Linked DNA regions of Arabidopsis thaliana. The protein of the gene in region 1 binds, or shares a complex with, the protein of each later gene. Each region holds a gene or a part of one and is shown on either strand. Other genes may lie near its edges. The genes, in order: CPSF73-I, CPSF100 and CPSF160.

Region 1 (10,076 bases):
TCATTACAATCTCTCGTCTACCTTAATTTAGATGAATCAGACCTTCCTTGTCCTTTAGAGGCTTGGTAGAAACGCATCAAACGACACCGTGTATTCATGAAACTGCAAATATCAAAAGCAAGGCTCACTAATATGTCTTACAGAGAATCTGGAAGAACCCTAGTAGCTTTTTAACTTTGGAAACCTCTTTAACTTGATGCACCACAAAGCTTTTGTTTCCATGGTTCAATATATTAGCAGATAAAAATAATGGAAACGAAATAAACCTGCTTCACGATCTCTTCATATTTAGCGGCTAGTTTTTTAACTTTAGCTTCTCCTGACTGTCTCACCTGGTTAGTCTTCGCAGTATTGTCATCAACCTGTTGATATATAAACAAATAAAACTTACGGAGATGATAAAGCATCGTGCACAACAGATTCACGTTGTTAGATGTTCGATAGAAAGGAAGCAATACCATAGCTACTACTGATTCAACATTCGTTTGCCTGGTTTCAAGTTCACGTCTTCTGGATTCAACCTCCACTTTTAATTCATTCAACTGTTTCGTCCAATCATCAAACATGACTGCTTTTTCTTTCTCTAGTTGTTTCAATGATTCGTTCAACTGTTCCACTGTTGACAGAAGAGATGATTACAGTCTCCGTCCCAAAACAAAATTCAGAAACAATATCTGAAGAAGGAAGAAATAAACCAACACTTGCCTATTCTTTCCCGCTCAACCACTTTCGCCTCAAGTGATTTGTATGCTACCCCATCCTCACTCAGCTTATCTTTAAGAGCTTTGAATTCTTTCTCAACCGTTTTCGCATTGGTTACCTGTAACATCATCAAATATACATAAAAATGAAAGATAAATCTAAAGACACATTAGATCTCATTCCAATAATTGGAAGGATCTGTGTGTTGCCACATGCTAGAGATACAATACATGGTTCACAATCTATAAGCAATGAAAGAGGAAAGGAGTTTTTTTGCTTGGTCACCTGTTCGTTTATTAACTGCAGTTGCGAAGATGACTTTAAAATTTTCTTCAAGGCCTGCAAAAGGCAACCATAGTTGAATAAACTTTATTACCTCAATATTAAAGCAAAACTTATTCGACTCAAAAATAAAGCATAAAACTGTTGCAAGACAAAACATAAGAAAATTTTGAAGTAACAACACAGAATAAGGTCTCAATCTAATATTTTCCATCTTGGGATCATTCTCATCCACTATACAACAAAATAAAAGAAGTTCTTCCTAAAGCTTCTGGACAGAATTTCATGAAGTATGAACAAAAGTGATAGAGCAATAAACACACCAAACTTAGAAGAATAATGACTTGAAATATCCTTCTCTAAAAACTGGTTTGAGAGCAGTATCCGCAGTGACCATTAAGTTGCAAATGTCGTAAATGCATTTAGCTACTTGCTAAGCGACAGGATTTAGTAACAATCTAGAGTTTTCATTAGATACCTTTTCAAAAACCTCAAGAATGGCAGCCTTTTCCTGGAAAGTTACCATTGCTGATTGTTCAGCTTTCTTTGTTTCCCCAAGTACTAGTTTCTTCTCTTCTAAAGCTCCCTGTCTCCACAACAAACGTTTATACTAGTGTATACCAAAAGTTTATCTTAGGACTAGTACTAGTTGGAATAAAAATATACCTGCAATTTGTCCGGTGATTGAACAATTTGTGAGCGGAGGTTTGCATTTTCTTGGACAGTTTCCACAAGATCAAACTCTGCTTTGGAAATCTGTAGAGAGAAATACACATGTCAGGAGCAGAAAACGCCTCTCAAGTTCAAGCATATGCAAATCACCTAATTGACAAACAAAATTTGTTTCTTCACCAACTTCATAATAAATTACAAATAACCCAATTTAGTTTGAGGAAGGAGCTCGACACCATATCCTGCGGTTACGTACCTCGTTATCCATCTGTGTACTCTTCTCTCTCATTTTCTGGAAGGTAGCTCGCAGTGACATCTGCTGATTATTTAGTTCCAATATTTTTTTATTCAGTTGTTCAATGTTCGCTTCTAGCTCTTGGACAAAAGGTAAGTCCCTCTCAACGGCTTCATCAAATTCTCCAATCTCTGCATTCAACTGCATGTACAGCTTTTAGAAAAAGATAAATGACTTATCTATGGGATACATATTTTTCTTGCATTACCTGAGCAACCTTTGCCTCACACTGCTTTCGCTGCTCATCAAGGAGACCCAACTCTTCTGCCTTTGGTCTTATAAGATCCATTTTCGAGTCTCTGGTACGAAAAAAAGATTAAAGAAGATCAAGTGGGACAAATAAGAACTCTCTATTTTAACTTCTTGGTGCATCGAAATAGATACTACAGAGAAGAACTAAGAGCATGAAGGACATACTTGTATAGACCATAGTTCAAAAGTGCGCTGATGAAAAACTCGGTTCGGGATGATTCAGGGCGTAAGAGATCCTTGAAACTAATTGGTAATGGACAATCAAGCATTTCTAACATATCTTTCACTTTGCAATAAAGCTTCATAGCTTGCATTGAAGTGGCATGATGATCTGGATTCTCCAATTGCTCCAAAGCCTCAAAATCAACTTGCCCTTTCTCTTCTCTACAATGTCGAAAAACGCAATTCAAAAAAGAAGCATCATCAGAAATTCCCCCAAATTGAAACAAAAAATAGGGTTTTCAAAATTACTTAGCAGTTCATACAATCAAAAATAGAAAATCCCAAAGATTCAATATTTAACATAATTTCTGACAGAATTCGATGACCTAGCTCGAAACTAGACGAAGAGTTTCAAAATCGAGGGTAAAATTGAGTGAAGAGCTAAGAGAGGAACTAGGGTTTTGAGGAGTACATACTCGTCGAGGGCGTCGAGATAGATAAGAATTCTGGTGTAAAGCTCGGAGACAAAGTCGGAAGTTGGGGTTTTGAGATCGGTCTCTGTAACGCTAGCGATTTGAGCATCCTTGAGCGCCGTGATAATGTCGGAACGAGAGAGCCTCGGGTACTCGTAGGCTGACATAGTTTTCAGTTTTGGTCAGGTTCGGATTTGTTGTGTCTGGATTCGAAGAAACTGAAAATGACAATTTGGAAAGAAATGAAAAAAAAAAAAGAGAGCCTTTGATTTTAGTTGGGTCAGGTTCGATTTGTTTTTTGCATTTGCTTTTCCCGCCTATATGAAACTGCAGTCTCTGCAGATATTGATGCATATTTGGATACGGTAGAACGTAGAAGCTTTTATAAATAAAATTAAAAAAGAAACTTTAATCTACAAAAAAAAAAATTAAGCATTTTAATATTGTAGAGATTTGGTCTTAATATCTTGATGCACTAGACATCTTGCCAAAACATAGAGGTCAAGAGACATTCACTGATGTGAATAATGTATACTTTGTACGTGGAAAAATAATAGAAAATGTGCTCATTACAATCTCTCTTCTACCTTACTTTAGCTCAATCAGACCTGCCTTGTACTTTAGAGGCTTGGTAGAAACGCATCAAACGACACCGTGTATTCATGAAACTGCAAATATCAAAAGCAAGGCTCACTAATATGTCTTACAAAGAATCTGGAAGAAGCCTAGTACTTTTTTAACTTTAGAAACCTCTTAACTTGATGCACCACAAAGCTTTTGCTTCCATATCCTAGATCAGCATAATGATAGAAAAATGCATATGGGAAAAGCACGAATCAGCAAAATGATTTATGAAAAAACCTAAAAAAGTTAAAAACTCATAGTTGATAACATCCATAAGACTTGATCATTATCACAGTAGGGTAGTAGCAAAGTTTCTCAATAAACACCTTCTTAAATAACATCCATTAGACTTGATCATTCACTATTACTAAACATGGGAACAGAAACATCATCAGATGGATAAAACTCTATGATGATTTAAGATACCTCAACGATGACTTTAAAAAGCTACTAAGAAGCTGAGAGAGGGATTGGTTTCACAGCGCTCTGAATCCGCTCAAAAGCTACTCTCACTCTTTCCTTAAGACCTGAATGCTCACTCTCTACCTCTCCACTCTCTTTATCCAGCTGAGCGACATTGCCATCGACCCTAATCACCAGTTTCCCGTTTTCTCCTAGTTTCACATCCCCGAAAAGCGAAACAAGAAGTGCGTATATCACTTTCTCAACTTTCTTCCCGTTCTCTTCCTCGGATTTCACAGCATCTTCTTCTTCCATAACGATCTTGGGGACTTCTCGGCTGATGTTGAGAATCAGAGCTACAATGGAGTCTGAAACCATGTCACTTATTGGATCTGATGACCACTGAAGTGAGATGTGCTTCTCTGACTCTTGTTTCACCGTTACTCTTTCATGAACTTTCAGTGCTGGAAGCCCCGATTCCTCATCTGTTGAAAATTCCACGCTCTCGAAAATCTTCTCCAGGCGATGTTTTATCACACCAAAAGCTCCTACAAACGGGATTGTAATTCGCTGAGTTACAGTTGCTGTTGATAGCTGTGAGAAAACATGGAGTTCGTCAGGTGCCATTATCTGATAAGTGAACCCTTTCTTCACCAGAATCCCGCTTACTGTATCGCCAACATCAGGTGTCTTTTCCGCCAATCTCCCAATGGTTTTCGCCAATTTCTCAGAATTAAAATACATTTCCACTGACTCACAGTTCTTCGGGGTCATGATCTTTGTGTTTCCATCAGGAAACTCTGTTAAGAGCTTCTGTTTGAGCCTCATCATCTCGTTAGCTTCACCGTGAACAAGGATGATGTTAGGAGGCATGAGCTCTTTCAAGAACGTGCTCGTCTGCGCGTAATCTGCATGAGCAGAGAACGATATATAGTGCACTTGCATGTTGAGCGGAGCAGTAAGACCATTCATAAGAGTCACCTCCTTTGGTTCATTAATTATCGTCTTGGCCAGTGTACCTTCCACCATATAACCTGGTATGATACAAGCATTCTTCTTATCTGAACACCAGCTGTCAAAGAGTTGCCTTGAGAGACCGCTTTGAAGACCTCCAGGAGTAGCCATTACCACAGATGGACCGACATCATTAAAATCATCGATGCTGTTTAATGGAGAAATGTGCTTGAACACAAACGGATTAGAATTTGCAAACTGGTTGCGGATTCTGTCGTTCATAGATAATATGTAGGTTTGGTAAACCGCCATACACTTTTTGGCGAGTGGTGATGCATAGTAGATTGGGATATTGTGTAGATCTGGGTGGTTCGCCCAGTATTCATCAAGAATCAAGAGAAGTTCCTGAGCACGGCCCAGTGCAAAAGCCGGGATCAGCACACGTCCACCCTGAGCAACCGTTGAATGGATTACATCAGTGAAGCGTTTCTCACGAATATGACGAGATTGATGAAGCTGGACACCAGAAGTGGATTCAATGATGCATATGTCAGGGGAGAATTGAGGAAGCTCAGCTGCTCTCAGATGTCGGTCTTCCTCACGGGAATAGTCGCCTGTATAGAGGATTCGGACACCAGCTATATCCACCATAAACATGGCTGCACCCAAAACATGGCCTGCCGTGTAACACCAGAACTTTATGCCATTCACTTCAACTGTTTGATGGAAGTCAATTACCTATAGAGGAAATCAAATATAAACCTTAACTCAACAATCACAGTTTTGAAGCAGATTTAATTTCTTTTGAACTTATCCCAAACCTAGTGGAGCAGTCAAAGTATAAACATAGTCATAGAATATAATGCAGTACTAACCTCAATTTTGTCCATAGACTTGTTGATGTCTTGTTCATCGAACAACATATCTTCCACAGACACTTTGCTCACTTTTACATAATCTGTAAGCAACAGCTTGTAGATGGCCTTTGTTGCATGTGTCATGAAAACCCGCCCATTGAATGTCGTCTGATCAAAACATCAATAACCTGAATTAGTTCTCAGCTATGTTTTAACACATCCCAAAAAACAAAATCATTTTGAAAAGAGAAACAAACCTTCTCCAGAAAATAAGGTAGAGATGCTGCATGATCTATATGAAAGCTGCAACCAAAAGCATCAACACATTATATGTTATCTTAACCCAATAAACCTCTTACACAAAACACAAACTCTTTCAAGTAGACAAACAGAGACAGAACAAACTCTAGCCTCCTACAAGCTTGAACTAATTAATCCAAGAAGGTCTCTCTACTACACATCATCCTTCTGTTTTTGTATAAACAAACTTAAACTTCGAAGATTTTGCTCAAATTATCATTCTATTCAAATCAAGACTATCATTTTCTCTTCAAAGTTTCAATTTTTCTTAATGGGTATTAGCCAAAAGAGGAAGAAGAAGGAAACATACTGAGTAATCAAGAGGACATCAATGGAAGAAGGATCAATCTCATCGAAGTAAGGCAACGCAGCCATGCCCGAGTACGCAGGATGAATCCCACAATCAAACTGCACAACACAACCAAAATCAACTATAAGACATGCCCCAACAACAAAATCAAAACACATTTGCTTGATTAGAACAAAACGGAGAAGCTGACCAGAATATTTTTGCCTCGGAAGGACATGTAAACACAGGAACGACCCACTTCACTTCCGGCTCCTAACGGAGTAACGATAAGTTGATCTCCATCTCGCGAAATTGGTTGCTCTCTTCTTTTCAGAGAAGTAGAAGAAGAAGCCATGTTTCGTCTTTCTCGATTTTCCTCCAAGAGAAGAAGAAACTCAAAGAACTGAGTACAGCAATTTCAGTTAGTGTATATCTTCAAACCCTAAAAGCCTTTAAAAAAAAAAAAACGACCACAGTGGGAGTCGAACCCACGACCTTCTGATCCGAAGTCAGACGCGCTAATCCACTGCGCTATGCGGTCAATACATAGCAATTGAAAATATTATATTTATATAGAAAGTCATATTATATACCGAAAATACCCTTGTCTTATTTTGTCACTCAAATCTGCGAACGAAGAGAAAATTCGAAGCTTTCTCGGCGATGATGGAGCGAACTTACGGCCGTCGCAAGCCGGGGATGTTAAACGACGACGTCTCGCGGGCGGAACATATTTTTCCGTCTTCTTCATCTCCAGAACTCGAGCCAGTTGATTTCTCAACTCAAGAATCATCTTGTGTCTGGAATTATTCTTCAAGATCCACTTTTTCGGATAATGATTTTTCTGAGAAGAGGAACAAGAGACCCAGAAACGGTGGTGGAGGGTTTGGTTCGAATTCGACTTTGATGGAGGCTCAAGAGTTCGGCGAGTTAATTGAGAATGAGGACGAAGTTAACTTCGCTCTTGATGGGTTGAAGAAAGGACATAAAGTTAGGATCAGAAGAGCTGCTTTGTCCTCTCTACTCTCGATTTGTGAATCTCAGTATCAGCGACGCTCTTTGAGAGCTTTAGGGTATGTTTATTTACTTAAGATTTTCAGTATCTTCCTTTCTAGACTTTCTAGGGTTTGTTTGAAGTCGAGTTCTTTTAAAAGTTTCTGAATTTTGTTATTTCAGGATCTCACAGTCCATAATTGATGCGATTTTGGGTCTTTGCCTTGATGACATACCAAGCAATCTTGCTGCAGCTACCCTTTTCTTTGTGCTAACTACTGATGTAAGTAACTTATTTGCATTGTGAAATCTGCTTGTGATGCTCTTTTCTCTTGCTCCATTGGCATTTTTCTCTTGTTTACTAGTTTTATGTTCATGATTCTAGGGTCAAGATGATCACTTTATGGAGTCACCCAACTCCATCAAGTTTTTGGTTAAGCTGTTGAGACCTGTGGTTTCTGCCAGTACTAAAGTAAAGCCGCGGAATATAGGATCTAGGCTCTTATCAATAATCAAGGATGTTGATGCAGCACGTGATGCAGCCAGTATGCATGATTTAAGCTCCTGTGATATAATTGACAGAGCTCAGGAAATTCTTGTTAATTGCAAGGAGTTGAGATTGATTGATAGCTATAAAATCGAGAGGATGAGGCCTGAGCTAAGTACGAAATGGGTAGCTTTGTTGGTGATGGAGAAGGCGTGCTTGTCCAAAATCTCTTTTGATGGTACTTTAACTTCCTGTCTGTTTTGCTGGAACAATGACTAGCTAACTATTTAAGACGCATCTGGTATATTATATTGAGTTATAGAATTGGAAAGTTATGTTATCTGCTTCAGTGAATCAGTTTAACAAATGTGTCAGCGGTAATAGAATCCTACGACCAGATTATAATTGATTTATAAATTTCTAATTATTGATATTATCATTCCCCATCCAGATACCTCTGGTACTGTGAAAAAATCTGGAGGAATGTTCAAGGAGAAACTGAGAGAACTTGGAGGACTTGATGCTGTCTTTGATGTTGTTATGGATTGCCACACTGTAATGGAGGTGTGAACCTGTATGTTATAGGGATCTTGCTATATATGTCTTTATTTGGCTAGGACGTCAATAACTTGTGTAAAGTGTCGTAGATTGGTAGCTTTATAATTGTTTGCTATCTTCAGGTTCATGTTTTATTTCAATCTAATTTATTGCTGAAAATCGTTGCAAGTCAAGGTTCTTTTCTTGTCCTTGGGCAAGAGAATTCTCTTGTTTGTGTAACACAGTTTAATGTTATTGTGACTGCGTTTGTTGTGGACAAGTTGGATGTCTGTCTTAGTGGTGGCAAAGACTCTGTACTTAAGTTGTCAATAGTTACTGGACCTTTGCAACTGTATTTAATAAGAGTCTCTATTGCATATTTTGTTTGCAGAGCTGGGTGACTCATGACACACTCTCTGTCGAGGATATAAAAGATGACTTGAATAAGCAGAGTCTGATGTTACTTCTGAAATGTCTAAAAATCATGGAGAATGCTACATTCCTCAGCACAGAAAACCAGGTAACTTTTATTTATTTTGGATTCCCAGCCTCATGATAGCTTGTATTGAATAGCTCTGCAGTTTGCACCTAAAAAATAACTGTACATAATATATCTTTCAGATTCATTTGCTCAGACTTAATAAAAGCATGGGTTCTCATGAATCCCGACTGTCTTTCACAGAGCTCATGATAAGTGTCATCAAAATACTTTCAGGTACCCATTCCTATATTTGGATTTTACCACCATGACTTGCTTCGTATGTTATCATCTCTTATGCTGATGGCTGGTTGGAATGATTACACCAGGTCTTCAGTTACGTGCTCACAGGAACGAAAAGCATCCTCACCCTCAGCCACATCTAGCTTCTGCTGTTAAGAAGGGCTTTGTGACAATTATTAGTTCAGATACTTGCTCTACCACTGGCTTTAGCTCCATAAAAAGTTTGAGCGTATCCAAGAGAAATCAGTCTGCATTCCTGGTAGGTTGCTCAACGACACCAAAGCCGGGGTCTCAATCAAGTGTAATGTCGACAATTGATCACTGCACGCTGACGACTACAGCTGGTTCCAACACTGGGTCGTTTGCAGGCAGATTAGCCTCATTGGGTAGTGGCATTTCCAGAAGTAAAACAAGGACTAGCCAAACTAGAGAATCCAGTTGTAAAAAAGTTGAAAACTTTGCATCCTTCGAGGATAGTCAAGATCCTTTTTCATTTGATTTAGAAGATTCAGGACCTTCCAGATGGGCAGTAGGAAAGCAAAAGAAATCTAAAGGTCAAAAGAGGAAGGGAAGCTACAGAGATAAGAAAGATGAACGCTCGCTTCAGCTCTTCTCGAGCCAGGAGGAATCAAACCATGGTTTAAATTCTCAGGAGGAATCAAGTGATAGAGATCACCATGTAACAGAGCAACCTTCTTTAACATATGACATTGATAAAGGATGTCTCTGTCTTTTATCTGATTGCCTTTTAACAGCCGTGAAGGTAATGTACAGTCTTTTTAACAATTACTTTTCTGTTATGTAACAAATTTCTGCAGCTGGAATGAAAATATGTTTGGACCAGAATGGAATGTCACCTTTTATGCTAATCTGTTTAGATATGTGAGGATATCATGTGATCTTTTGCTACGTTCTGATTCTGTTGAACATATTTTCAGGTATTAATGAACCTAACAAATGGTAATTCTGTTGGTTGTCGGGAAGTTGCTGCCTGCGGAGGACTGGAGAGCATGGCTGAATTAGTTGTTGGACACTTTCCTTCCTTCACCAGATCTCCGCTTTACAGTCAGATGG
Region 2 (12,232 bases), on another chromosome or scaffold:
TTCAAGTTCTTTCGTTGTATCTATGTCTGATATTGATGACCAATCTGAGGTTTCGAAGTACTCCGGTGTTCCGTTAACCTCAGAAAGCTCTTCAGCAGTGGCAAATGCTGTTTCCGTGTCATTTAGTGGCACAATCTGAGGTTTTGAAGTCGAATCCAATTGTGAAGAAACCTCAGGAAGCTCAGTTACAGTCCCCGAGGCTGCATAAGCATCGATGCCTGATAAAGAAGATAAGGAATCTTCCTTCTGACTGTTAACATGATTTTCTAAATCAGACACATTGGTTGGTTCAGTGTTCAGGAGACTCTCTGGATCTTCAGAATTTGTATTTTCCACGCCCACAAGATTACTACTTTCTGCATCTAGAAGAATAGGCTCAGTGGATGAGTCTAACAGAGACTTAGATTCAGATATTATTTTCTCACTTTCTGCTGTCTCAGGATCAGTTTCCGCATTGACCATCAAATCTGCTTCAGGAGTATTTTGGGGGATACTTTCAGTGGCATCCGCTTCATCAGTCATGACACCATCAAATGACGATGTCTCCTTACCAAGTAGTTTATCTTCGCCAGACCCTTCATCACTTTTCTGAGCTACATCATTGCTTTCTATACTCTTATCCTCGTCCTTAAGATTGCTTTCCTCACTGTTAGCTACCTTAATCTCATCACTAGAAATTTCATCAGATGATTGAATCATGCTTTCCTGCTGAGAAGTCAACGAATGCATTTCCTGTTTTTTTGTTCCTGCGCTCAAAAGATGATTCCCCTACAATAAATCAGTACAAACAATTCTGAAAGAGGCACTTGAAACGAGCTTGAATAGCTTTAAGAGAAGGAGTATTACGCTTGCTAAAAGATGCTGCTGCATAGCTTAGCCCAAGAAACAAAATGATTCCAGCCACTCCAGCCCCAACTACACCTGAAAGCAAACTAGTTCCAGATTGTTATTAGTCCACAAGAAAACCGGTAAACTAAACAGCTTCAGAACAGAGAAATCAAAATGCTAAAGAGACTTAACCAAACTCCAACGTAACATGCAATGTACCATTTGAGTATGTGCGCTGTTTAGCGAACCTCTCAATAACAATTGACCACAAAAACAAATCGGCGTATACGGTTCATCAACTCAATCTAAAGATTATGTGTAGTACATCCATAAGAAAACAACACTCATGGCTCCTACCAAATTACACTTGTAAACTATGCAGCCATATAGTTTTAGCTTCATTGTGTAATCAAACATTTCACCAGCTGGTTCTTACGAAACCTCGAAAACTCCGAATCACACTGAAAAATAAAATCAGAATCCAAAAACAGATGTTCATCCGCATATACCTTCAATCAAACTCTTCTTCTTAACTCTGGAAGACTTCTTGTCATCGTTATCGGAATCATCCCACCCAGCCAAATTATCAGCCGACGACTTTGACGAATCCGATCCGGTCCACGCATCAACTTCAGGCTTCTGCGAAACACAGACAATTCCATAACCCGATTTCCTAGCCAATCGCGATGGTCGTAAGTAAACGGCGGGAGATTTCCGACGCACGCCGGAGCTCAAAGCGAGACGAAGCTGGAGGGAGGTAGGTGTCCACGTGGCGGTCGCAGAAGCCATGGTTTGATTGTAGAGAGAGTAAGAGAGGATAAGAAAATATGAAGAGAATCGTCAGTAGAAGAATGGTAGAGGAGGATTAGGGTTTAATTGGAATTAAAGTAATTGTATCAAATGTATTCTGTGTTTTTGGTTGGTTTCGTTACAGAATATTGCACAAAGGGAGAGCGTTGGACAGTGATCAGCCTCACACTAACACACCTAACCACCTAATTGCTTTTATTTATCTTTCCATGTTTAACACATATGGTTGGTTTAATTCACAAGTGAAAAAAAAAAGCTAGATGCCACGTCAGCACGAAGCCAAGACCAGGTGTTGAAAGCTCTTGAATGGAAAGTGTTTTCGCTTTCATTTTAAACTTTTGAGAGAACATACAAGGAACAAAGAAGAGAGTTTATCACGTTTTACTGTTTTAGTTTACCGCTTTACCGAAATAGGAGTGGAATATATCCAATGACAACTTAAGCTTCTACTAAGATGACAAGTACAAAAAAGTTACAAAAAGCTATTGCCATTTTTAACACATTAATCTATAAGATTTGAGGGTTATAAGCAAGGCAATAAACTATACGAGATTACATGTTGAGTGGTTGAAAAATGTTGAGAAAATGAGAAGAAGCTTCATTTTTTTTCTATATCATGCTCAGAGGAGGTAGAACTGAGAATAGAGATAATCCCTGATTTTGTAATAGTCTTCACACAACGGTCCTTCTATCAGAATTTGCTGTGGACCCGATGCTCCTCCCTGAACAATCCCCAACATATATAAGTCATTCTCTGATTTGTTGTAAGAAATGCAGTATTTGCTTTGAATTACCTTTTGACCCGTCGGTCCAACCTTTCGTAGAGTGACATATTCACCACAACGTAAAGCTCCTCCACCTGCAAATTCTACCTGAACACCCTTGCTCGACAGAAACTGCTTGAAGTCTGCGATTTTCAGATCACCTACTAGAACAGGTTTGTGTGGCGAAGCAGCACCTGGCATCGGTAGTAGAGACCTCATGTCCCTCTCTGTCTTCCCTACTTCGGAATCCACCCAAGCTACTTCTGAATCTCCCAGCTGATATTATTTCATCATTCTTCAGAGACATTGGTTGCAAATCGGAAAAGAAGAAAAAAATAGTCACGGAAATAAAAGGTACCTTCTTGAAGATCACATTGCTCATCAGCTTTTCAGAAAGTTGGACCTGATGTATCACCATACAGGGTTAATTCAATCACACAACTCAAAACCCATGAGTTAAAAAGGATCTTCCTAATTCTAAGTAATTTCTACCTTGTAAGCACATAAATCAGAAGTCACATCGACCGTTTCCTCTATTTGAGGAGCATACACGTGTGGACAGATGTTGTTCAAGCAGTGTTGCTTCAAATGCTCTGTAGCCTCAGCTATCGCGTGCACCAAAACCTTCACATGATATATAGTATTAGATCACCGCAAGTTTCCAGTTCAGTGCTTAACACTATATATATATAAGACGAGAGAGAAACGTACAAGTTTTAAAGGAGAAACATGCGCAATCATTGACTTGATTGAGCGGCCATCTGACCGACCTTCATAGTCCATTTTAACAAGTGAACAACTAACAGTCACCTGTGCAAAAGCATAAGAACAAACTAAATCATTTATCAGGGAAATTAGACAGCAGTTAGGTATAGACAGAAGAAGACTAAAGAGCCATATTGTTTTGTTTAGCAGGCAAGGCCTACGTTCTGAGAATAACCTTCTGAAACTTCTACATGACATAAGATCAAGTGGGTAAAAGTAAGAACACAAAAGTTGTTCAATAACAAGAAGAAAATTAGACCGATTAATCCAAACAACAAAATATCTGTAAGTTGAATTATCGTGCTAAAGATCTGATTAGCAAGGTCTCCCGTGATAACTAATTAGAAGATCAATTAATAAATTTCTTGTATGCATATCATCAGATGAAGATAAATTTGACAGGCACAACGCCATGTCAATGAGAATTCCTATCTCTCTATTTCTAAGTGAGAAGACTACTCCTTGTGCCTATCATTGATAAGCAGTCTATAACAATAATCAGAGATTCTAGAAAGGGAGAACAAATGAGGACATTAACTGAGACAAAATCTCTATCAATGTATTGTTCTTTGGATATAATTAGAGTCTACTTACAATGAGCTCATTGGACATGACTTTCGAAGGTCTTGTATCAAGCATGAGACTAGCAGTTGCCTCATCAAGCCTTCCGTCCACATCACCTCCGTTCTGAAATGGAAAATTATATCACAAATTTAATAAGCAACACAAGACTCTACATAGAATGACCCTAAACCTTTACTAGTAAGCAATCAGTTGTTAAGGAAAATATAAAGATGGAACTGTAGAACCAGTGCACTCATTTGAAGAACTGCACTCATACCAAATCAAGAGCCTAAGCAACTTTATGGCAAAAGATTTCCTATCTGTATCCCAAATCCTCAGAGCATATCATGCAGATTTCTTACATCTTTGTTCTTCTTGATACAAAAATCGTAAAAGGAACCACCACTATGCAAACATCATGGAAATTAAGAGGTCTAATTTGCAAATATAACAAGAGCTAAGAAAGACCAAGACCAAGACCAGAATTCAAGGAACGTACATGCATTGCTCCTCGGTCCATGTCTTCATCCTTGATCACATAGTCATCTGGATTAATAATCTCCCCAAAGTCGTCCCATTCAGATGTGTTATCATAATATGGGAACATTGGAGCTACGCTGCTGGATGGGGGAACAAATCCATCAATCAATATATCTTTATATGCAGGCCCGTGAGAACCAATAACTGCAAGAGTAGTCAGAAATGTAAAAGGTCAGTTGCAGACCACTATGTAGTGGAAAGAAGAGCAATCAACAACGGTAGCCAGAGGTCTAATTGAAACAGACACATATTGTGGGACTGTGAAAAACTAAACAAATTACCCAGAAATGTATTGTGAGACTTCTAAATGTAGCTTCTAGGTCACTCAAGATAACCACATAAATGCCTCCTAAAACCAACTAACCAGTACATTACAGAGGGTACTATGTGCATAGCCATTTTCAGTACTAGATACTTCAATTAAGTTAAAGTTTACATGAAAAATAAGAAGTTACAGGCCACAGAATATTCAAGGGTAATAAAATGTTATATAAAATAAGAAAAAATTTACCATCGTGAGTAGTCTTGGTATCTATGATCATAGGTTCACTTGAATTATCATCGGATCCATGGGAAGCTTTTGTTTCCTCCTCTTTAACGAGGCTAGCTCGCAAAGCTTCTTCCCTTTTCAGTCTGTTTTGCTCTTCCTCATATGCAATTAACTCTTCCCCAGCCAAAGGAACCCTCTTAGACATGGTGACTTTAACAAATTTTGGAGGTGGGGCTGACTGAAGCATACGAGCTAAAGTGCCAAACTGCAAATAGAAGCAAATGACAATTAAAAATCAAACTAACAGCAGTTTAGTTTTATGTGATTGACTACAAACCGAAACATCTTGCAAATCTTAGATCACGTGAACTATGAATGGACACATGGAAAGTATAATCGCCATCGCAACTAAGGAACACGACCAATGGCAAAGGTAACAAATTGGATGAAGAACTTCGATAATTTCACTTGGATTTACGGTGTTACTGGTATTTCAAACTTAATAATTCCGTAATGCTCTGTTTTCTGGATAGATTGACATGGACAAGAAAGCATAGTCACACAGAACTGAGAAAAGCGTGAATAATTAACCAAAGCTTCCATTTGTTTCCAAACTATTTATTTGAATAAATTTATTTTTGTCTAGATTGAATTTTAATTAAAAGTATGATATTTCAGGGAACAGGATGATGTCTCGCTAGAAGAAAAATAAACAAAGTACGCGGTTACAAAAAAAAATTATGTTCATTTGAGATGAATGATATGGCCAATTAGACAGTTTGTGCATAGTGGTGTCAATTCCATTAATATGATAGTCTACTAAGACCCTTTATTTTGTACTGGATGTAACTAATTGATAAATTCAAGACTGAAAGCTCTGGAGATTATCCTAAAGGAGCAAGCCAGGCTTTGGTGGTAATTATAATGCTGCTTTAAGGTACTCAATCTCTGCCTATTGTGTACATATTGGGGGTAAATATCCACACATAAATGGGGGAACTCTTATTCAGATCAGAAGACAAAAAAGATTCTCATATATCCACTTAACTAGCTGATCAGCACTAGGAAAAGAATCTACCATCAGGTCTTTATAGCAATGCTAATAAATTTTCGTTCCTCAACGTATGTGGGTTCTAAAAACATACCTGGCCTGTTTCAGTAAAGAGGACTAAATTTCTGGGATCATTTGCCCACTCCACGAATATCTCTCGAGCAAAACCGGCTTCGAGACTAGCCATGGAAGCAAGAACAACCTATATTATGAGATTTAGTCACTACAACATATAATAGGAAAAAATCTAGTTCTATTATCAGCTGAAAAGACAGGAAATAATAATAAATCCACCACGTTCTATGTACTAACAAACACTAATGAGTTACTTATAATTTTATAAACAACCTTTGGACCAGGTGGAGCATTATCCAGATCAGTCTTGTTTATCAACAGAGTGACATGCCTGCATGTGTTTAAATTTCATGTGATGTCTTCTGTATTCTAAACAAACGACGGCACAAATAAGGCATTCTTATAAGAAAATCTACCTCAATAGAAAGGCATTATCACGTGAAGTCTCAAAGGACTTTGAAATGGAGTCACTCATCCACTCGAGGAAACTCTTAACATAGTCAATTGTGCTAGATGACACGTACGTGAGAAAATAAATGGGAAAGCTGAAACCTCTTTGTGACCAATGCTGCAGGTTTGATCAATATCCAGTCTTTAAAAAACAGCTGAACATTAACTAAGAGCATGATACATTCAAAGCGGTTCTATTACCTGTTCAAGTATCAAGAGAAGTTCCAGGACACGACCCGCAGTGTCTACTGGCAATAGAACATTTCCTCCAACTTCAAGATGTTTTGAAATGGTATCTGAATGATAAATGGGGACATGCACACATGTTTCTGGCAGTTAGAAGCGGGCTGTTTTAAATACTATAGAAGATACACAACACATATTGGGCTACAAGCTAACCTAGAAATTCTTTGTCCCTTTGCTGTCTTGCGGTTTGATTGGTATAAAGAGCATGATATGCATCGGTTATCAGAACAGCAGGCCGAACAAAAGACTGTAAAACAGTTCCATTCAAATGCCTGAATTAAGATATACAATTCAGTATCACGAGTCCACATCTTTACTTACTGTTATGAACATTACTCGAACTTCAAATAAGATAAAATCTGAACATATGTACCTTTCTTTCCGATGATTGTAGTCAACAGCATATATAACATCCTCCCCATCCTTTGTTATCCTCCAGATGCTACCTCCCAGCATGTGTCCAGCAACATGAGGAGCAATTACAATACCCTCTCCCTTTCCTGATAGGGCAACGATAAAACCTTGAGACATCCTAACAATCTTTGAAGTCATAACTTAGGTTTCAACAACCAAATACTCAATGTGTGTCAAAGAACTCCTTCCCGATATGAGATCATAGATAATGCAGATCAAACTTGCTTGAGATAAGTGTCAATTGTTTCTAGTTTGCTATAGAGCCTAGAAATCACTAAAACCACATACCAGAAAGATGGTAATTTTGAGAGTAAGTCAATCTGATCACATTCTGGAAAGCAGAATCTATGTCATCCAGTGTAAACAGATCAAAGTCGGATACTTGCTGCAACAGTAAGATCATCGTGTTACAATGCAGACAATTGCGCAAAAATAACCACTCCAGTAGTTAACAAAATCTCACCTTCCTGGACAAAAACTGATCATACATTGTAAGGAGACCTAATCTATGAACAGGCTCAGTAGCATAAACAGGAGCGGAGAGTCCAAGCTGCTTCATAGCATAAGGAAGAGCACCAATGTGAAGTGTATCTGGATGAGAAAGCAAAACTGCATCTATAGTAGAAGCAACCCTGTAAACCAGAAGAATCGAATTCAAAACAAATTAGATTGGTGAATTCTGGAAATGTAGATAATAAGGATAGAGAAACCTGGAGAGAGGTTCGAGGAGCGATGTGTCGAAGAGATCGTTCCAACCACAGTCGATGAGGAAGTTGAAACCATCAATGGAGACTAAGTAGGAGAGAGGATTCTCGTTGTAAACTCCGCAGAGAGGAGTCACTTGCACCGAAGTACCCATCTTTTCCGTTCGCCGATATAAACCCTAAAATTTCTCCGATGAACTAAAGAAGAAGAAGCCACCGTGAAAGAGGGTTTTTTAATTCTGTAATAATAACCTCCCCGGTCCATATATTTCCTTTTACTTCTAAAATAACCCTTTTCTTTTCAAATTGTTCATTTGGTACATATAATCTTTGAAATTTTTTCTCTCTTTACCTTGATTTTTTAACCAACACAAAGAGGGATTAGTGAATCTTTTACCAAAAAATGTTGTGGTAGCAGTGAAACATAGATGGTGAGTCCATTATAAGCATATGAGTCAATTCTATTGTATGTTCAAACTTCAAAGTAGATCGGTTTCATTATGATTGCTCATTCATTTAAAATTACATGAAACTTCATTCATTGTTTCAACATGAAAACATTAAACACACCCTTAAGGAAAAATAGGCAAATCTCCGTTAAATATACTAGAGTAAATCAAAAACTTTTAAGCAGTTGTACCAAATACACTAGATCTATGAGCATATGGTGCAACCAGAAGACCATTACAAGTTGATAAGAACTTACGCATAAACCTTTGTATTTATTATCCGTAAATCCCAATTACAATGAATCAAAACCCTATATTGATAAGATCGGAGTTACAATGCTCATCTCTTATCATCAAGAACATAGCACACAAGCCCTAATTCTCCTCACAACATCAATGATCACGCAGGATAATCTCTATAATTCCTCTCTAATATCCCTATTTATACTCTTTTATTCTTCTCATGCTTCTCTTTAGCTCTTCACACGTGCCTAATTCTCCCACATGTGTGCTCTCTTATCACTAATTAGTAAATGTTGCAACTAAAAGATCACTACAATGGTAAAAAAATGTTGGAAATCTCTTCTATGAAATAAGAGATATTAATGAATGAATTCACTTTCAGTTAATTTTGAATTAAACGTATTTGAATTCTGATATAGTATCGAAGTTCAGATCATTTGACATAGGTGTGTTGCGTAATACTTAATAATTCAATAGTTCGAGATGAACTATATATATCATTTGTTAGGAATATGATGGACAATAAGAAACAAGTAGCTGGTATGTTGATTGTGACGAATGATAAGTTCTTCCTGATTTTATTGATGCACGTTAGAAAGCCAAACAACATTTTGATTCAAAATTGTGATAGCTTCACTTCAAAGGCAACACAAAAAAAAAAAAAAAAAAAAAAAAAACATATGCATTTGGTGAAGGAGGACCCGTGAGGACCAAACCAAAATCATAATGGCTAAGGATAACAACCATAACTAACTATCAAACCTTTCTTTCTTGATATGAATATGAAAGTTGTAGTTAGGTAATAATAGGTTGATTAGTTAAAGAGTGTAAATAAATGTAATTATTATACTTGTTTTCATAAGAAAAATGACCAGAGAGATTGAAGACAATTGTTTGTGTGTGTTTTTTTTTGGTTCTTTAAAGATAGATTAAGAAGATTCGGTGAACCTAAACCAAAAGACACCTAAGAATGTGATTTTCGATTCTAATTCATCAGCTGGTGACCCACCCATCAAGACCCATCTCCATACTTAGAAAAATATCTAAAAATACAATACATTTTTTATAAATAAATAAAAAGAAAGTATCAAAATATGGTTATTCTTGCAAAAAAAAAAACTTTTTTTTAATCATTTGTTTTTTGTTTTTTGGCCTTATCTACGCCCTATGCTGTCTACTGCACATAACTAAACTTAGCTCTCGTGTGAAACTGATAAGTAGTAGTGTAGAACTGTTTTTGTGAGCCTGTGGCTGTCACTGAAATTTGTTTTTAATACCAATACAGAAATTGGATTTCAATACATTTACAGATTGAAAATTCTTACAAAAACATAAACAATGAATTTACAATGGTGGACCACAGTAGAATTACAAGGAAATATTTACTAAACGAAAATAGAAATCTGAATGTATAGAGGGAAATGAATCTTTTAGCTCAACAGAAAAATTTCATCTATTTTTAAAGCTAAAGTTCTTAAGGAAGAAAATATCATGTGGACTTTATATTTCTAATAAATAAATTAATGTAAACAATAACAAATCAAAGATTATTTTTTTGGGTCAGATATGTCTCTCTTTACACACATACACATGAAAAATAAGTGAGTCTCTCCATGTGGTGAATTATACATACATATTTATGCATAGATATGATATGAGTTTTTTTTTTAAAGATGATAAGAGATTTCTAACAATTGGTAACAACAATCAATCTTTTTCATAGAAAGGAAAACAAATTGTAAGATGGCAAAAACTTCTTTGTGCCTATCAATATCATAAATCTCTCTCTTTCTCTTACCTCTTTGCCAACTTGACCTCTCCTTTCCCTTTCTTCTCCAAATGAATTACTTTCCACAAAATCTTTATTATCTATAAATACTATAAACCTTTCCATTTCCCTCTTAAATCCCCAAATCAATTATTTTCCTTTGATACAACAGGCATAGAACTCAACGACGCCGTTTTCATTCCCAGTCTCCTTCTTTCACCATTGAAGCGTCCAAAACTGTAACAATGAAGACGACGACTCGGCTCCTCGATCTAACAGCGGCTATGGTTCTAGTTGTCTACGTGTCTTTCTCTCCTCCGCTTGTTTCCGGCGAACCAGGGCGGCGTGTTAGCATGACACTGGTTCGAGACGCCGCTGCTCTCGGTGCTTGTATGTCTCACACTCCTTTTTTTTCTTGGTTCATAGAATTATATTATTTTCTTGACATACTTTTTTCTGATAAAACATTTTCTTGATAAATGAGACTGAATAATTCAGTTAGATTGATATTGATTTATTATTTTTGCGGTGAGTTTCACTGTTTTAACCTCATGTCACGCAACATCATCTAACATAAACCACTCTTTATTAGCTATCGTTTTCTCACGTTGAAAAATAAGATTTTACATATATATAATTATATATATATATATATATATATGTCACACTTTCTTTTGATATACATTTGGAATTACATTTTGTGTAGTTTGCTTGGACGGAAGCTTACCGGCGTATCATTTAGACAGAGGGTTTGGTGCTGGATCAAACAATTGGATTTTGCAGTTTGAGGTAATTAAATTTTACATTTACTCTAACTCTCTAATTAACTTTTTTTTATATACGTCATAGAATTAAATCTGTAATTAATTCGAAAATGATTAAAACACAAAACGATTGTTATTCTTAAAAATGGTTGGGATTAATCATTTGCTACCAAGAAAATCAATCAGCCAACCATTTGCTTAGTGAGTTAGTTTTTTTTCTTTTTCTTATTGGTCACTGCCTAGTTAAAGTATTTGGTGTTGTAACCAACTCCATGAGTACGCAAATAATTGAATCCAGCTATCCTAGGGAAGATATAAATATTTTATGTGTATTAGTCATCTACAAATTATTAGTCAAATTCTTAAAATAAATCTTGATAACGATTTGAAATCAAGTGATTAAAATTTTAAAATGTGACAGCTGGTAGATTGGTAATACTTGTTTTCTAGTTATGTACACACTTAAATACCCGAAAACTACTAATTACGGCGCCGTTTTAAGAACTTTAGAGCATTATCATGTCTCGACTCTCGAGCTAGTTGGATCGTGTCTCACGCCTCTCACTTTATGACACGCATTTATAACATTCTCTCTATAGTTCTTTTCTACGAAACAGAAACACATTTATGTTTATTCAATCGACCACTCATTTGTCTATATAGAGAACTATCAAGATTATTTGAATCTTTACTACAAGTAAAAAATGGTTATAGGGAGGAGGATGGTGCAATGATATAGCATCATGTGTGGAAAGAGCCAAGACCCGTCGAGGCTCGACACGTTATATGAGCAAGACCGTCGTCTTCACTGGAGTCTTGAGCAATAACGCCTCTCAAAATCCAGGTCATTCTTAATTTCATTTTATTTTAATATAAACCCATGCATTATGAGTAAAATGGCAACATTATCCAATAATAATTTATTAATCGAAATCGAACATGTTTGCTTGTGGTTGTGGTCTCTCTTTCACGTGATGATAGTTCAAATGTTTCTGTTAAAATTCAGCTTTTTTCAATAAAATAAACTAATCGTTAGAAATAATATTTTTGGCTCTATCTCTTTCTATGATGTGGCTTTGCTTCTTTCTTTGTTGTCCTTGTCCCCTTCCTAACGAGCACACGCTATCGTTCTACCTTAAGCCACATCAAATTACTCATTTATCCTACCTTCCTCGAGCTATTGTATTATTTTCATGAGGGCACAACTGTCATTTATAACTGGACATGTGAACTTGTGAAGTCCAGTTTTGAGTCTGTCTTGAGTCTGTCTTGAGTCAAATTTTGCTGTGACTTTATTAGAACATCAC
Region 3 (9,114 bases), on another chromosome or scaffold:
CTTGATTCATAAAAGAACCATCCAGAATACGGGCACCATGCTCAAACACCTGGATTACCCGACGCCTGAAAAAGAAAGATGGAAGTTAATATTACACAATATTGGTATATCTTACAGCTGCATGTAGTAGAAACAGCTCAATGACTGAAAAGAAGCCATGGATAGAGCTTACATGGGGATTATAATAAGATAGATGGGTGTAAAGGAAAAAAATACTTCTATGAAAAGCATATCTCAAAAGACATAATATGGCAGCTAATTACCTTCCAAATAGATTTCCAGCAGCAATTGTTCTTCCCTGAACATAATAGTCAACACTCTCAGTGACTTCTGTGAGAAGGTCAGCAGTTTCAAGTACCTGAAAAGGCAAACATTGTAGGTATTTCTATGGATAATAAAAGGATCTAATGAAAAACAACCAACACACAGAAGCAAAATATACCATTGTGCGAGCCTCCAAACTGATAATCAAATAGGCATGATATTCATCTTCATCAGCAGCCATTTTAGAAGAATCAGCATTATGACCACGGGAGCTCTTGTGATAAACTGTCCATATTCCTTTGCACCCTGGAAGTTCAACCTACCCACAAGAACATCCGGAATAGAGGTGCTTAAGGATTAAAGAGACTAGGTCACATACAGAGCATTACTAGGAAAGATCGGATACATCCCCATTTTTCTACAGTGAGCTCCCCCTCTAAGTTCTAACTTGTACTTTTCACATAACAATTTCCACTTTTCTGTCTATATCAATACTAAACAGATAAATACCCCAGTGGTGGATAGTAATTGTGAAAGATATAAACCCGCGAGAGTGTCGTAACAATGCCTTCTGTTCAGAGCTCACTACAAACTAATGAATTTTAAATGAAATCCTCTCCATGCCATAGTAATGGGAGTAAGGGTTTTAAACTAAAAGATCAACAAATGGACGATTCCCAATCTTCTCATATACCAGACACAATTTGAGATATACGCATACCTCAGTAATCATTTCCGGTCTAATTGACTGCCGAAGAACACATAAAGCACCATTCTTCCCATGACCAGAACAGCACACCTAAACGCCAAAATTCAGATTTTTAGTTTGGGGGCTACAGTTTTTAGACAAATATGAGGCAAGCATGTCAACAAATAAAGTTGTGGAACAAAGGATTTCATTGTTACGTAAAAGAATACTTCAAAACTAGACATTACTAAATAACAACCCTAAGCAAGTTATATTTTGTATAAAACAGTTCCATGGCTAGTATAATATAAGAACTTCTACCCAAACGGCTCACCAATTCATAGTTGCTCTGTTTGGAAACCCCAGTGGCGTTTGCATCAGCATTAATCCTTAAGCCATACGCAAAATCTTTCACTGGGCCAACATTAACTAGTGAATCTCTCACTGCAAATGAAAACGATTTCTGCATTTATTGGAAAAGAAAATATGAGAAACTTCATGGAAAGGAGAACATAAGCTACCTAACTCTTATTGATACAATACATGTTGCACAAAGGAAAAGTCTTTCTTCGGTAGTTAAACTAATGAAGTCATTTTCCGTTCAACATTAATTTTTTTAGACTGAATGTTTGCAATTGAAAGCACACATAGATAGGAAGATGGAGAATGTTCTGCAACGGAACCCCAATTCATATAGTAGAGCCATCTAATTTTTCCAAGATTGAACCTCAACAGAAAATTCTACGAAACTCTAACCAAGACAGAACTTGTTACCTGTGCTGAATCAGAGTTATTTGGAGTTGAACCAAACAATGAAAGCTCCTCATTTCCAATTGTATCTTGGAAAGTATCAGAAGTCATCCTCAAACGTTTTGCTTGATGACCCTCACCTTCAATGTCTTCATCCTGCATAAATTTAGGAAATTTTCAAGTTCTGGATTAACAATTTTAAAAAGAAGTTACTCTGACCAGCCTAAGAAAGATTAAACTATCACCTCATCTCTCAAGCCAGGTAATGATGCTGCAGGCCCAGATCTACAGGAAAATTGCACCAGTAAACTGTCTCCCAACCGGCTACCTAAAAAGAAAAGGGAATTTCCAACACTAGTAATGTCCTGCAAGAAATTTGGTATATCATCATAGGGAATCTCTAATCGAACAGGATCCAAATTGAAGTACAAATATGCTGAAAGAACATATTGACTAACCGAAGCAAGCACAGAGGCTTTTGATTTGGAAAGATCAAGTCTCTGTACAGCACTTCAAAAAAGAAAGTAGCAGTCAGTTTCACATATTTTAAACAAAATAAGTTGCAGCCAGCTTTACAAGCGTCAGAAGATTTTTTTTTAAAGAAGATCAAAATACTACCGCCCATCATATATAAGAGTCAGCAGCAACAATTCCCCAGATTTTGTCGACAATAGGGCCACATCGTTCGATATCCAGGTTCCATGGGCAGCATCAAGCTCCACACTGAAATTTGATGCAGGCAGTTCTTGACTGAAAGAAATCAGACGCACACAGAGATAGAAATGTGGTTAACAGTATAAACAGAGTTTTACAAATGTTGAAAGTTGATTCTAAGCTTTAGGATTCTAAACTAAGACTGAGGTAACAAGATTATATCCATAAGCATGAAGCAGGTTTTGAAGAGTGGGGAGGTGCGAGAAAACTGTACCTGCTATCAGCTGAGGAGGCATAATTGTTCAGTGCCAGAGCACAGGAGGCTGACTACAAATATATATGGTATCCAGATGTGTGAGTAACTGTAGAACTTTGAGGTGGAGTGGCTGGAATTGTTGAATTTTAAACAAGAAACAACCAAAAGCTAAGTAATATAAAACTACCTGACTATGATAATGGATTGTATTTGCACACAACACAAGAACACCTCCGATCGGAGATGGTACTGCAAGTAGTTTGTAGGCATCATGGGGCAGATTCTGGAAAATACCAAAAGAATGGGAATAAGTATGATCAGGGACTAACGTTTGCCGAAGTAACTATTTCAGTCATGAAATAGCTTGTTATTTTAGGAAATTTTTCCTAAAGAAAGATCAACTCTTTGAGCATTCTAAACAAAAAATAGAGCATCGTCATAGCTGATTGGAAAGTCTAGTCATGTAACAACAGTGGATATTCAATAACCTTTTAGATGACTTCAATTTCTACCCTTAGCTTACAATATAGTTAATAGTGCAACTCAAATATTTAATTTCTTGGGAAGAGATCTATTATAAGATACAAAGAGGAAAATACGAACATACAATAGCTGACCAGATGACTGGGTGTTGTTTTAATGTCGAATTGATACTAAGGGCAGAAAGCACGCAAGTATGGTGCTTCCATGAAACTCGCCCAGCCCAAGTATGCTCTTCTTCCTGAAGGATGACAATTACAGGCTCAATATAACCTGAAGAAGACACAGGATGCAAAAACACATAATCAAAAGAAGCACCACTTAGTTTATTCTTTATGCCTACTGGGAAAACTAGAATATCTAAAATTTCAGACAGCTAGTTATTGAAAAATCAAAGAAACAATACATTTCCTCTTGTTTCAAACTGTAATCATGACCAGAATACATCAGTTGTCGTATTGAATCTACAAACAACAACTTAGTAAGCTAGATCCATTCAAGGACACAAGATTCGATGCAAGTTGAGCAGCTAAGAAACAATCATCATAATATATTTATGATTAACTACTGATTCAGAGATAAGTTTATGAAGAAACCTTGCTTGCTAAACCTACCATGTAGAAAAACAAAATCTTTGACGTGTTTCATTTCCAGATCACGCAAGTTAATTATGTAAGATGATTCAACTCGAGCAGAAACTGTCCCTCCAGAACTGAACGCATCATCATCTCCAACTAGTCCAGAACCAACCTAAAACCCAAAATAAAGTTCATAAAAGAAAAGAATGAAGGTTGGAAATTTGTAGCAGATAAAGCGACAGTTAAGATGAAGTTGATTAATAATGCCAAAACAAAAACCTGGGAAGTCTTGAGTATGATCATCTGCAAACCATAAACAAGAACGCCGCCACATCTGCCTTGAGGATCCACTTTTACCAAAGGGCCTCTTGGAAAAGACTCTCTTCCTCTTTTCAGATGAAGCCAATCTGGACCCTCAAAACAATGCATCGAACTGAAAAGGAACCACATATCCATTATTATTTGTTGAAGTCATGTATAGGAGTCAATGGTACATAAATTAGATAACTAGAAGAAACAATCAGACATAGACAATAGAACGCTTCAGTATATGATCCAATACTACGTAACTTGCATCGCTAGAAACAATAACAATGCGTAAGTAAAGACCAAAACTTTGAGAAGTATAAAACAGTTAAAACAATAGTTGGACACAGAACATCTCGTATATAGGTCAAAAGAAACAATTGAGAGGAGACAGAGCTGAAACTAAAGCTGAATTCATTTATTTATTTACCAAAACCAACAAAAGCAAAACACTCTTACGTCATCCTAAGGCTGTGAATTGAATCATCAAACTCAAGAACTGAAATTTTGGCGTCGCGAAATGTCAATATAATCGAATCTCTTCCCTTAGAAGAATTACCACCTCCCATAGGAAGAACCGCAATTGACTCAACATTACCGTGCAACCTACAATCCAATACCAATCACATCGTCACTTCAAAGTCAAAGTACCAAAATTGGAGTAATTTAGGAGGTAATTGTCAACAAACACGTACCTATAATGGCACACGAGCTCGAGAGAAACACCATAGACACCATCCATAACTCCACCACGCTTAGCAAGCTTCGGATTCCTCAGCTCCTGAGTATTCCCTTCCTCTTGAGCCCTAACGATGTACACCTCAAGGATATTTGCGGCGGTTATAACGACGTTGGGCAAAGGACCAATACCTCGTTTAGGATTAGGCCACTCAGCTTCAATATCATCATGAACGGAAACAATCGGAATCTGTAGCGTTGAATCGGAGAGAGAGTGGGTGATATAGCCGGAAGCACAGTTCTCGACGCCGGTAGGCCAATGCATCATCTTATAGGCCGCGAAACTCATCTTCTCTACCGGAATCTGGGATTCAGAGATTCTAATTCTAAAAATTGAAATTGAACTAAGAAGATTGGGAAGTGAGTGTGAGAGCAATTTAGGGTCTCGATTTTGTGAACATTAAAAGATCAAATCCTTAAACCCACGGGTTTTAATTTTAGGTTGGTTTTTTTTTTTAAGGGGAAACAGTATATACTCTTTATTACGAGTTTGGTCTTTACGAATTTCTTTTCCTTTAGTTTTTTTTGGGGATTATTTGTTTGCAAAAAGAACATGAAATATTTTGCGAAATCCGTTATATGTATCAAACTTGTATTGTCCAAAAAGTAATACATTTTTAAAAAAATAAATGTAATGTTCTGTTTTTAAAAGCATTAAATCAATGATGATGTGGATGCATAAGAATTGAGAAGAGAAGAGAGGAACTTGTTATGAACTTTCTGATTGGGACACATATACACATCTTTGGTCAAATGATGTTTTTCCAATGATCTTTATTTTGTTTATAATTTTCTATATCGTTTGTCAACAAATAATGCCCAAAAAAAGAGGTATTTCTTATCACTATCTATGACACACCAAAGCCAAAGGGAAGATAGTCCAATCTTTATTTAATACCCAATATATACCATGAAACCAAATTTCTTCTAGAAATATACTACAACATAAAAGTAGTGGATTTTGCACCATGATTTTGTTTTTGCAACATAAAAGTATTAGAAAGTGTTATCAATCATTTTGAGTTTCATTACTGCATTAAAACTTTATATATCGAAATATATCATTTTGTAAAATATTTTTGTTTTCCTTTTTAGTTCTAAAAAAGATCCTTAGTATCAAATTTCCCCAAAAATCTTTATACTTCTAATAAAAAAATCTCAGCAAAAATATGTAAGAGATAAACGTATTTATTATTTATGTTTTAGATTGTGTTTTTGTAATTAGTATTTTAACCCCTTAAACAACTTAGAGACGATAAAAAAAAATATAATTTTCACTTAGAAAGAGGATGACAGTAATTGTTTTGGAGAACAAGGGGATGCCTTATAAGGTTTATGAAAACAAATGCTAATAATTAATTGATTTAAAGATACGTTCATATAATATTTCTTATTAATTGTTGAAAAATCTTGAAAAGGAAAATAACCAACTTTGGGCTTCCTCTACTTCTCACCTCTTGTCCTCATAAAATAAGAAACCTCCTGCAAGTCTCTGTGAAACGATTTTGAGTGTTCCTCCCCCATACAAGACGACAACAATGATAGCTTTAAGTTTAACCACCTATAACTACTCTTTTTACATACTTCTTCTTCTGCTTCATCCTCTTTTTCTCCAAATTTTTATCTTATTTCTCATTACCAGAAGAAAAAATGTCAAGGAAGAAAATTTTTACACTGTGCTTGTTAAAACTATTCACAAAGAGATACTCTCTTAGGCTCCAAAGCCTCGATTCCTTTTCGAGGATTTTTGGCATCCTTTAGTGGCCAAAGGAGTTCAACGTGTGGTTCAGGAGAGGAAAGAGGGACTTGAAGCTCAAGGGAAAGAAGAGGGAGTTGAAAAGGTTCTTGTGGAGAAGGAGAAAGAAGAGGCTCATGTCTCATGGGAAAAGGATGGATCTGTGTCTGTTGCATACACATATGCCATTCATCACTTTAACCTTGAACGTGACCTTATCAACTACTCCAAGTGGACTGTTTCTGCACCTGGTAACGAAAATGACTACTTTGATACAAAAATCCTTGAAGAAGAAGTTGGCATTATCTGGGATCTCAAGGAGAAGAAGAAGGACAAGAAGAAAGAGGAGGAGGAGGATGACGTGGAGAATGACATAAGGAAGCTTATTTCTCTGTGAATCAAGTTTGGAAGTAAAATCAAACTAACTACTGCAGATTTAAGGAAACTGGCAAACGACAAGCAGCAACTTAAGAAACTTCTGAGAGAGTTTGAGAAAAAGAACGATGAGTTTATTGAAAAGTTGATGAAGGAGAAGAAGCTTGAAAAGAACAAGCGCAAGAAGGGGAAGAAAGGGAAAACGTTTATTGTTAATCGAGAGTGAGGATTTTGATTTATTTTCAAGTTAAGTTTGATATAATAAAAATCTAATAGTCTAACCAAATGTAGTTCGGTTTAGTTTAACTAATAATCTAGTTCAATTAAAAAAGTTGGACATACACGATTAAACTAATTATGAAATATAACCGTAATAATTATAATATCATGCAAAATGACCAAATCAATAAAAAACTTCAAAAAAGAAAAAAGAAAAAACTCCTAAATTGTTTAGTTTATTTTTTGTTTAGTTTAATCAAAATGAAGAGTGAAGATTTTGATTTATTTTCAAGTTAAATTTGATTTAATAAAAATCTAACAGTCTAACCAATCGTAATTCGATTTAGTTTAACTAATAATCTAGTTCAATTAAAAAAGTTGAACATACACGATTAAACTAATTATGAAATATAACCGTAATAATTATATGAATTATAATATCATACACAATAACCAAATCAAAAATAACTTCAAAAGAAGAAAAATAAAAAACTCCTAAATTGTTTAGTTTTTTTTTTTTTTGACTAAAATAAGTTTGACTTTAACAATTCATAACATTGTTCTTCCTTCCACGCTTCTCTCTCAAACTCCCAGATCTTGTCGATTTATTTATTCCTCTCCAAAGCAAAAGCTTCTTCGATCGTCCTTGTCTCGTTTTCAATTCTAAATGTAAGTTTTTCTCTTATTGATTCCTTTTTTCACCTAATAGAGATTAGTAAACAAATTGTAAAAATCGAAACTTTATTGTGATTTAGCGGAACCCAGTTAGATATGTAATCCATCAATGAATGATTGCTCTGTTTTTTTTTATAGGTTTTGTGCAGAAAAATCATGACTTTGGCTTCTCCACGAGTTTCAAATTCAAAGACGACTGTGTTGTTGTTTCCTCGAAAAGTTTCTTCAATTGCATTTGCTATTGGTGGATTAACTTCTTTCGTCATCTTCGCTTCTCTGCTTCTTTTCACGTATCCCATTGGTTCCTCTGTTACTGACTATTTCTACAGAACAGAGACCACTCAAAACGTCCAGTTTCACCATAGTATCCATGATCCTGATCGTAACCCATCTCCTGTTTCTAGCTCAGAGTCACCACCAGTATTGACACAAGATAGTGATGATAAAGTGCTTCCCAAGGGATCTCATGATTCGAATGATGTTAGATTAGGTGAAGAAACAAACTCAGGGAAGTCTTCAAATGTTTCCATTGATGAAGAAGCTACACAAGATCATGTAGAAACAGGTACTGTTAAGTGATTGCTTAAGTTTCTCTAATTGTTGTAGATTAGTGTGCAAATTTATGTGGAGTAAGTTAAGTAGCTATTTAATGATGATTTGACTTAATTACTCTTGAAGGATCACTGAGACAAAAAACCAATGCTACTAATTAATGATGCATTTAACTCTTAAGTCCTTAATCTGGAATCTTAATGACCTTTGGACTATATAGTTAGGTACCTCCTTTATACTAATAGTTATCTGATTTGGTAAAATATAACTACCTTTTGACAATTATGTCTCCTTCATGTCTTCTCTCAGGATTTTTTTGAAATTGTGTTTATCACTTTTCTTACTGAAGCTTTTCTGATTTGCTTTGACCATTTTGCAGAATGTGATTTATATCATGGTAACTGGTTTTATGATCCGATGGGACCGTTGTATACAAACAACTCTTGTCCTCTTTTGACACAGATGCAAAACTGTCAGGGCAATGGAAGACCTGACAAGGGGTATGAAAACTGGAGATGGAAACCGTCTCAGTGTGATCTTCCGCGTTTTGATGCTAAGAAATTTCTTGAGCTAATGAGAGGCAAGACACTAGCTTTTATAGGCGATTCAGTAGCTCGTAATCAGATGGAGTCCATGATGTGTCTTCTTTGGCAGGCAAGTGTTTTCTTATACTTTGTGTCACTATATAGAGCTTCTTTCTTTTTCCAAGAGTTTGTTTTGTCTGTATGATTAAACTTTTGAATGATGTTGTTGTTTTCAGGTAGAAACTCCGGTTAACCGTGGGAACAGGAAGATGCAGAGATGGTATTTCAGGTCATCATCGGTGATGATAGCTCGGATGTGG

The links.
Region 2: CPSF73-I (region 1) and CPSF100 share a complex: the UniProt entries of both Arabidopsis thaliana proteins name them as parts of the CPSF complex.
Region 3: CPSF73-I (region 1) and CPSF160 share a complex: the UniProt entries of both Arabidopsis thaliana proteins name them as parts of the CPSF complex.

Annotation. Positions count from the first base shown.
Region 1 is NC_003070.9:22,471,042-22,481,117, forward strand, and holds CPSF73-I (cleavage and polyadenylation specificity factor 73-I), read right to left. Parts: upstream 6,725-10,076; 5' UTR 6,620-6,724; coding exon 6,476-6,619; intron 6,384-6,475; coding exon 6,286-6,383; intron 5,979-6,285; coding exon 5,933-5,978; intron 5,844-5,932; coding exon 5,694-5,843; intron 5,557-5,693; coding exon 3,913-5,556; 3' UTR 3,889-3,912; exon of another isoform or gene 3,629-3,888; 3' UTR 3,589-3,628; exon of another isoform or gene 3,507-3,588; 3' UTR 3,226-3,506; downstream 1-3,225. Other genes in the region: AT1G61000 (kinetochore protein), read right to left, coding at 55-102, 267-362, 459-616, 706-820, 988-1,041, 1,463-1,570, 1,651-1,740, 1,913-2,092 and 3 more; AT1G61030 (WAPL (Wings apart-like protein regulation of heterochromatin) protein), read left to right, coding at 6,928-7,337, 7,441-7,540, 7,643-7,982, 8,196-8,308, 8,673-8,801, 8,903-8,996, 9,089-9,765, 9,941-10,076. UniProt on the Arabidopsis thaliana protein: Component of the cleavage and polyadenylation specificity factor (CPSF) complex that play a key role in pre-mRNA 3'-end formation, recognizing the AAUAAA signal sequence and interacting with poly(A) polymerase and other factors to bring about cleavage and poly(A) addition.
Region 2 is NC_003076.8:8,048,174-8,060,405, reverse strand, and holds CPSF100 (cleavage and polyadenylation specificity factor 100), read right to left. Parts: upstream 7,968-12,232; 5' UTR 7,857-7,967; coding exon 7,708-7,856; intron 7,630-7,707; coding exon 7,461-7,629; intron 7,383-7,460; coding exon 7,286-7,382; intron 7,084-7,285; coding exon 6,957-7,083; intron 6,856-6,956; coding exon 6,737-6,855; intron 6,634-6,736; coding exon 6,539-6,633; intron 6,456-6,538; coding exon 6,304-6,455; intron 6,219-6,303; coding exon 6,161-6,218; intron 6,015-6,160; coding exon 5,907-6,014; intron 5,027-5,906; coding exon 4,783-5,026; intron 4,416-4,782; coding exon 4,231-4,415; intron 3,855-4,230; coding exon 3,762-3,854; intron 3,213-3,761; coding exon 3,114-3,212; intron 3,027-3,113; coding exon 2,895-3,026; intron 2,806-2,894; coding exon 2,761-2,805; intron 2,679-2,760; coding exon 2,433-2,678; intron 2,361-2,432; coding exon 2,259-2,360; 3' UTR 1,941-2,258; downstream 1-1,940. Other genes in the region: AT5G23890 (GPI-anchored adhesin-like protein), read right to left, coding at 1-746, 847-921, 1,338-1,617; AT5G23870 (Pectinacetylesterase family protein), read left to right, coding at 10,407-10,551, 10,868-10,950, 11,640-11,769. UniProt on the Arabidopsis thaliana protein: CPSF plays a key role in pre-mRNA 3'-end formation, recognizing the AAUAAA signal sequence and interacting with poly(A)polymerase and other factors to bring about cleavage and poly(A) addition. Required for antisense-RNA-mediated gene silencing.
Region 3 is NC_003076.8:20,976,139-20,985,252, reverse strand, and holds the start of CPSF160 (cleavage and polyadenylation specificity factor 160), read right to left. Parts: upstream 5,249-9,114; 5' UTR 5,004-5,248; coding exon 4,672-5,003; intron 4,583-4,671; coding exon 4,436-4,582; intron 4,104-4,435; coding exon 3,950-4,103; intron 3,843-3,949; coding exon 3,707-3,842; intron 3,366-3,706; coding exon 3,220-3,365; intron 2,896-3,219; coding exon 2,800-2,895; intron 2,684-2,799; coding exon 2,631-2,683; intron 2,453-2,630; coding exon 2,321-2,452; intron 2,213-2,320; coding exon 2,161-2,212; intron 2,068-2,160; coding exon 1,948-2,067; intron 1,859-1,947; coding exon 1,727-1,858; intron 1,416-1,726; coding exon 1,287-1,415; intron 1,064-1,286; coding exon 986-1,063; intron 584-985; coding exon 443-583; intron 359-442; coding exon 264-358; intron 66-263; coding exon 1-65. Other genes in the region: AT5G51650 (uncharacterized protein), read left to right, coding at 6,004-6,045, 6,430-6,810, 6,853-7,050; YLS7 (trichome birefringence-like protein (DUF828)), read left to right, coding at 7,875-8,283, 8,650-8,924, 9,031-9,114. UniProt on the Arabidopsis thaliana protein: CPSF plays a key role in pre-mRNA 3'-end formation, recognizing the AAUAAA signal sequence and interacting with poly(A)polymerase and other factors to bring about cleavage and poly(A) addition.